Oryctolagus cuniculus: one gene and its partner. Each later gene encodes a partner of the first gene's protein in a complex. Links are inferred from orthologs where the notes say so. Each region holds a gene or a part of one and is shown on either strand. Other genes may lie near its edges. The genes, in order: IRAK2 and IRAK4.

What was found.
Region 2: the proteins of IRAK2 (region 1) and IRAK4 are in contact, whole or in part, in a crystal structure (PDB 3MOP), measured with the Homo sapiens proteins. The link is inferred for Oryctolagus cuniculus from reciprocal best matches to the Homo sapiens genes IRAK2 and IRAK4. Residues at the interface, in NP_001561.3 of Homo sapiens: Tyr6, Ile36, Lys44, Met48, Glu59, Trp62, Trp63, Trp64, Gly65, Met66, Arg67, Gln68, Ala69, Gln73; in NP_001107654.1 of Homo sapiens: Asp24, Phe25, Pro28, Gln29, Lys34, Glu92, Phe93, Phe94, Ala95, Pro96, Ser98, Val105.

What each region holds. Positions count from the first base shown.
Region 1 is NC_091441.1:116,663,754-116,667,658, reverse strand, and holds the start of IRAK2 (interleukin-1 receptor-associated kinase-like 2), read left to right. Parts: upstream 1-1,237; 5' UTR 1,238-1,303; coding exon 1,304-1,397; intron 1,398-3,905. UniProt on the Homo sapiens protein: Binds to the IL-1 type I receptor following IL-1 engagement, triggering intracellular signaling cascades leading to transcriptional up-regulation and mRNA stabilization.
Region 2 is NC_091440.1:134,906,867-134,910,671, forward strand, and holds part of IRAK4 (interleukin-1 receptor-associated kinase 4), read left to right. Parts: intron 1-68; coding exon 69-178; intron 179-3,805.

The DNA of each region.
Region 1 (3,905 bases):
GATCCAGGAGCCAGGAGCTTCCTCCGGGTCTCCCACGTGGGGTGCAGGGTCCCAAGCACTTGTGCCGTCTTCTGCTTTCCCAGGCCATAGCAGAGAGCTGGATCAGAAGAGGAGGAGCAAGGACTAGAACCGGCGCCCATATGGGATGCCGACGCTTCAGGCCAGGGTGTTAGCTCGCTGTGCCACAGCACTGGTCCCTAGGGTTTTTTTTTTTTTTTTATGGCCGGCGCCACGACTCACTAGGCTAATCCTCCATCTTGCGGCGCCGGCACACCGGGTTCTAGTCCCGGTCGGGGTGCCGGATTCTGTCCTGGTTGCCCCTCTTCCAGGCCAGCTCTCTGCTGTGGCCCGGGAGTGCAGTGGAGGATGGCCCAAGTGCTTGGGCCCTGCACCCCATGGGAGACCAGGATAAGCACCTGGCTCCTGGCTCCTGCCATCGGATCAGCGCGGTGCGCCGGCCGCGGCGGCCATTGGAGGGTGAACCAACGGCAAAGGAAGACCTTTCTCTCTGTCTCTCTCTCTCTCTCACTGTCCACTCTGCCTGTCAAAAAAAAAAAAAAAAAAAAAAAAGCTAATGTGGGAGTCCTGTCCCGGAGGGACCCAGTTTAGATCTCTGGAGGTCGGGCTGGGCGTCTATAGCGGCTTTGTTTTTCTTTAAATTTTTATTTCCGTGTTTGAAAGGCTTGTTCACTCCCAAACACCTGCAATAGCCAGGACCGGACAGGCAGAAGCCAGGAGCCCCCTCGTGGGGGCAGGGACCCGAGGCCTTGACCATCACACGTGCGCCTCCAGGCTGCTGGGTCAGAGGCGGAGCCAGGACTCGAACCCGTGGACACACGTCCCTCCACGCCACAAGCCCGCCCATACTTACCACTGTCCCACACATTGTGAGCTTGTTCAGTGCGGACCTTGTTGGTCTCCTCTGCCCTGCCGGTTCCCAAGTTCTACAATGTGGCCTGCGGTTGGTGACCCATAGTGTTTGTGAGGATAGCCCTGGACGCGAGGGTGGACAGGGGCTCAGAGTGGAGTAGGAAGCCTGGCCGCTGGGGGGCGGTAGTGGCCCCCACTCGGACCCGCCCACGCCCGGCCCCGCCCCTCTCCGGCCCCTCACTGGCTCCGGCTCCGTCCAGTCCCGCCCACGCCCGGGCCCGCTCCTCTCTGGCCCGCCCAGGGCCCGCTCTTACTGGCTCAGGCTCGTCCGGCCCCGCCCCCTGGGCCCTGGCCCCGCCCCCACGCCGACGAGGCTCCGCGCTGGCCTCGCCGGGCCGGCAGTCGCTCGCTGCGCTCCGTCGCGGCCGCTGCCATGCCCTGCTACATCCACCAGCTGCCCGCCTGGGTGCTGGACGACCTGTGCCGCAACATGGACACGCTCAACGAGTGGGACTGGATGCAGTTCGGTGAGGGCCGCGCGGGCGGGGCTCTGTGGTGGGGTCTGCGCGGCTCGGCGCGGGCCGGGGGCGCGGCGCGGGTGGCGTCGGGGGTCCGCGGGCGGCCGCCGTCCCGACTGGAGGCGACGCTCGCAGCTTCCTCAGGAAGAGCTTCTGCGGTTTGCGCCGGCGCGACTGGCACTGCTGCCCCAGTAGCGCGGCCGTGAGCTCGGCGCTTAGGCTGTTCGTGCAGAAGCCGGTGGGTCCCGAAGCCGAGGGAGGGGACCCGTCGGGGTATCGGCTCGGCAGCCGGGAGCCGGGGGCGAGCGCCAGGCCGGGGTCCGGGCGTCTGATCGCCCCGCGGGGGTGTTCCTGGAGATCCCGGCCCGGGGGTCGCAGCCCGGGCAGCGCAGGTGCACCTGCGCTGTGGGAGCAGGTGAGCTCCAGTCCTGCCCGGGGTAACCCCTCCTAGGATGTGGGCGCCCGCAGAGGGCCAGGTGCCAGGATGCTCCTCATGCGTGCCCGTAGCGCGATGACTTCCGTGTGGATCTTTTCCAGAGTCTGTCTTGTGCATTCATTGTACAGGGTAACCTGCCCCCCACCCCACACCTAAAACATAGCCCGGTCATTCCCTTGTCAGACGGTATTCCTTAGCAACATGGAGTTGGGTTTTCTTTTCATGTGTATTTTTATTAAGTACGGTGAGAGAGTGAGCGAGCGAGAGGGGCCAGGAGAAATGGTCGAGGCAGTACGGTGGGATGGAGGTGTGTTCCTCCCCCATATCGCGGGGGTGGGGTGGGGTGGGGCTGTGACAGTGTCAGCTGCCGCCTCATTCTCTAGCCTGCCCTCGTTCCGGGTGCTGCAGTGGGCTACTACTTTGGATTTTTACTGGGCAGGGGACATAAGTGGTGTGGGCGACTTGTTCTAGACTTTTCCGTCCTGGCCTAGCCCTCAGTTGTGAATTCAGATGGCAGTCCCCAGGCATTCAACCAACCAACCAACCAACCAGCTTTGTTGAAACAGATTCCTCCCCCCTGTATTTATTTGAGAGGCAGTTACAGAGAGGCAGAGGCAGAGGCACAGAGAGGGAAAGAGAGAGAGAGAGAGAGAGAGAGAGAGAGAGAGAGGTTTCCATCCTCTGAGAGAGAGAGAGGGAGAGGTTTCCATCCTCTGGTTCACTCCCCAAATGGCTGCAGCGGCTGGAACTACACCGATCTGAAGCCAGGAGCTTCTTCCAGGTCTCCCACGTGGGTGCAGGGGCCCAAGCACTTGGGCCGTCTTCCACTGCTTTCCCAGGCCACAGCAGAGAGCTGGATCAGAAGTGGAGCAGCCGGGACTTGAACCAGTGCCCATGTGGGATGCTGGCACTGCAGGTGGCAGCTTTACCCGCCATGCCACAGCGCCAGCCCCAGACTGCACCTGTTTGTAGAATACAATCCAACAGCATTTAGGGTATTCACAGAGGAGTACTCACTGTCATTGTCAGTCTCACAACATTTCTGTTACCCCAGAAGAAACCCTGTGGGCTTTACTGCTCTGTCTCGGCCTCTCCACATTCCCCCTACCTGAGGCGCTGTCCGTTCCAGACATTTCCCATAAAGGAGTCACAGCATGTGTGGTCCCTGTTTCCACTGCTGAGCGATGTTCTGTTGTATGGGTAGACTGTATTTTACTTATCCACTTAGCTGCGGATGGACATCGGAGCGTTCCCGTTGTTTGGCTGTTGTGAACACTGCTGGTCAGAGTAGACGTGAGCGAGGGTTTATGTGGACATGCGGTCTCATTTCTCCTGGGTGGTTCCCGGGAGCAGAGCTCCTGAGCAGTCTGGGAACCGTGGGTTTGCCCATCTGAGGAACGGCCAGCGTGGGTATCTGGCCTTTCTGGAGGCCGTCCCCTGGCTCGCGGCCATCGTCCCGCCTCTCAGTGATGGCTGCCCTGCCCTCCTGTGTCTCCCGAGGCCGGAGCTCCTGCCTGCCTGTGGACACTCTCAGCGGGTACGCGGGGCTGGCTTAGTCCCCGGTCGTCTCCCGGTCTCAGAGTCCTGAGCTAGATTCCGCCCGCAGGATCCCCTTGGCCAGCAGGCTGTTTGCAGGTCTTGGAGTTGAGGTGGGTGTCTTTGGGGGGTTTATTCCTCTACCTTGGCCCTGCAGGTTGGCGCCCCTGGCACCTTGTTGGGGAGCCCTCTCCTGCGCCCTGCTGCTCTCCGGCCCCATCGGTTTACACCTGTCTCTCCCAGGGACCTCACCTGTGTAGGTCGCCCCTGCGTTCCCCGAGCGAGCCCAGGCCAGGTGCGGTGGGCACCTAGCGTGCACCTGAGGAATGAACTGAAGGGCCGGGAATGCTGAGGTGTGGGGCGGGGGCCGACTTTGAGCCCAGGTGGGCCGTGTCCGCTCCGGGGTCGCTGGCCCGGGAGCCAGCCATGCTGTGCTGAGTCACTGTCTTGAAAAAGTCCCTGCCAGCTGACTGTGGTCCTGGAGGGGAGGGTGTGGGGTGAGGGAGGAACGCGGAAGTTGAGGGACGCCCCAGCCCCAGGTGTGC
Region 2 (3,805 bases), on another chromosome or scaffold:
GTTAAATGTTTTCCATAATTTTTTTTTCTTTTTTCCTCCTCTTTTTAATTGGTTTGTTTCTTTGTAAGGATGATACAGCACCACTTTCATGGCACACAAGATGCAACATCGCTCAGGGTGCTGCAGCTGGCATCAGCTTTTTACACGAAAATCATCATATTCATAGAGATATTAAAAGGTAAATGCTGCTATTGAAGAGCTTAGAGACAGTCACCTTCAGAGAATATGTTCTCGGTCATTCTGTTCCCTGCTGACATGTGTGCCCCAACCTAGAGCCCCTGGGCCTTCTCCTCATCAGTCTAGGAGAGCACTTTCCACGAAGGACTTCTGTAGTCTCCTCTCCCACAAACCCAGTGACCGACTGTTAGGACTCGCCCCACTTAGCCTGGCTCTTTGGTTTTGTTTTGTTTTGTTTTGTTTTGACAGGCAGAGTGGACAGTGAGACAGAGAGACAGAGAGAAAGGTCTTCCTTTGCCGTTGGTTCACCCTCCAATGGCCACCCTGGCCCGCACCGCACTGATCCGATGGCAGGAGCCAGGTACTTATCCTGGTCTCCCATGGGGTGCAGGGCCCAAGCACCTGGGCCATCCTCCACTGCACTCCCTGGCCACAGCAGAGAGCTGGCCTGGAAGAGGGGCAACCGGGACAGAATCCGGCGCCCCGACCGGGACTAGAACCCGGTGTGCCGGCGCCGCTAGGCGGAGGATTAGCCTAGTGAGCCACGGCGCCAGCCGGCTCTATGTTTTAAGAGCGTGTTACTAATACCACTGGATCAGCAAATACAAGTTAGTTTGCTCTAGGCAGGAGACTTTTTGTAATGGAAGAAATGCGCTACGAAGTAAAACATTTTTGCTTAGTGCAGGCGGCCTTTATTATTGCTGCAGAAAACAAAAGCCTGGCTGAGTTGATGATTTACATTCTCTCTTACTGACTTCTCCGTGACATGATGCTTCTTGCTGGGTTTTTGTGTACGTAAACATTGTCAAGCTGTGAAAGAAAATGGTTAGAGGTGTGCTGTGTGTGAAAGGTGAGCAATAAAGTATCTGTAAGTTAAAAAAAAAAAAAAGAGCGTGTTACTCTGTCCTTGACCATTTCACCTTGTGTAGATTTGATCCTTTCTTGGTTTGTGGGTCAATATTCTTTTCTGAATCACTGTCATCCTCTGTGAGTGCTTTCAGCTCTCCTGCTGATGTTTTTCTCTGGTTAAGTATTTCCCTACAGTAGGGAATGTACATGGAACAGATAGCAAAAGCATCATGTACAGAATTGGCTTCCATCAGATCTTCACAAGATTATAGAATTTTATTGTATTGAAATAGTGTTAGTATAAAGGAGGGCTCCCAAGGAAGTGATATTTAAGCTGAGTTTTAAAAAATGAGCAGGAAATAAGTCTTCATAACATGAGGGCAGCTATGAAAGAAGAAGAAAAGAACATTCTAGGCTGAAGGAACTGTATTTGTGATTTTAGCAGTGAAGGGAATCCTGGAATATACTGGGTTAAGCCATGAAGTGAATCAGCATGATTGGCATGTGGAAAATGCAGGAGATGTGAGGAGAGATGATGGGAGTGGGCACGAGCTGCAAGCTGTGGGACTCAGAAGTGTAATGAGACACCACCCAAGACTATGTTGGGATGTGGTGTCATGTCCAAGCTTTGCAGAGATCACTTCTTTTCTTTTTTAAAGATTTATATATTTGAAAGGCAAAACGACAGAAAGGGAGAGAGGAAGAGAAAGATTTTCCATCTACTACTTCATTTCTCAATGAAGTAGGGGCTGGGGCTGGGGTAGGCAGAAGCCAGGAACTCCATCCTGGTCTCCCACGTGGGCAGCAGGGGCCAGCACCTGCTGCCTTCTCAGGAGCATGAGCAGGAAGCTGAATCAGAAGCAGAGCAGCTAGGACTCAAACAGGTGCTCCAATATAGGACGCCGGTATTGCAGGTGTTGGCTTAGCTGGCTGTGCTGCCACACAAGCCCTAGAGAGAGGGGAACAGTGTGTAAGATGGCCAGGCAGTAGGCGATCAGCAGTCTTGGTGGGGGCAGGTCCTAGGAAGAGAAGTGCATAGATCGAGAGAGAGATGGCAGTGCTTGCTGATAGCTTGGCTGTGGGAAGGGAGGGTTGTATGAGAGAAGTGTTTTAAGAATGACTCCTGGAATGACAGCTTCCAGACCTGCAGTCTGGAATGCACGTGGCCTGATTGACATGTGCAGAAAGGAATGAAAGAGGAGAAAGTTAGGAGTGGAAGGAAAATATGAGTTCTTTATGCGTGTTGTGTTTGCTGTTTTCTTAAGGTGTGGGAGTGGTGGTGTTAACTAGACAGTGGGCTGTGCAGGTGTGGAGCTGAAAGACAGCTGAGCCGAAGGCATAAATATGTCTATTACTTGTGTAGAGATACTAGTTAAGAGTTGCTGTATGATTGTGTTCACCTGGAGGGAGAGAGAAATTAAGAAAACAGCCTAGGATTAAGTCCCAAGGAACCCTAAGAATTAGTGGCTAAGAGGAAGAGATCCCCAAAAGTAATCTCAGAAGGTACCTGCACACAAAGGTGAGATGATAACAGGACCAGAGTGAGTCCCTGGAAACACGGAGGGGTGTCCCAAGAGGGAGCATTCAGAAGAGCCGCTGGGGGTTGCAGAGGAAGTGGGAGGCGAGAGCCCAGGAGGGAGGACAAGTCTCCCAGACCTTTGGCTGCTGATGGGTGTTAGGTGCAAGTAGACACACCACCCAGGAAATGCTTTAAGATAGCAGAGATAAAAGCATGCTTATACTCAGGGTCCAGAAAAGCAGGAAAAGATTCTGTGGAAGACAGAGATGAGACAGCTTGCAGAGTAAGGTTCCTAAGAATGTAGGAAGGAGCCCAAGCAGAGGGTCTGATCTCACTCTCATCCTTAGGAACTGGTTTTTCCTCATGTCCTTGCCTTGTTATCCCGTGTTCTTGCTGCATGATATTATCTTAACTCTAACTCTCTCTCTGTAGGCAAAGAGACTCAAGTCTGTACACAGCCTCCAGTCCTGTGTTTTCAGGGACCCCATGTCTGTAGTACCTCACTTGGTTGTCCCACCGGAGCCTTCCCATCAACTCGTCAGTAATCAAACTCATTGTCTTCAGCAACCCTCAGTCAAAACCTTCCTGTTTCCTTTCTGATCAGTCAAGTCCCTAAGGCGCTGTCCCCCAAGCTAAAGATTGACTGCCTGTGTCATACAGATTACACAGTCCTGCAGCTGCCTCGAATTTTGCACTTCCAGGTTGCCAGCCCAGTCTTCTGCCTCTGTTCAGAACCTCATTATCTTCCATTCGCTTTACTATAAAACTTCCTTGTGAACCTGAAGCCAGTCTATACCAGTTCTCATCTGTTCACTGCAGCCTTGCCAGAGTGTCCTCCTAAGAGTTAAGTCTGATGTGTACTGTGAGATCTTCAGCTGGTTCCTGTTGCTTACAGAATGAAGTTCAAATGCCCAGCATGGCCGTGGACACTGGTTTCTTGATGTTGGTCCTTTACACCACATGCTTTCATGATGTCATCGTTCTTTACAAGACTCTGCAATGCACTGCTCTGTTTTCTGCACAACCATCAGCTTCAGGGAATTCCTCCAAACTAAGCTTTCACCTTCTCTTTGGAATTTTCCCCAATTCTTGCTGACACATGGTTCTCTCAGCATTTCATACCTACTGCTACAATTATATAACATTTATTGATTTTAAAAATATTACTCAAATGCCTTTGACACAGACAAGATTCTATGATTCCTGCCTGCTCCATGCCAGGCATTGAGCCTAAATACTATGAAAGATGAGAAGTTTTCA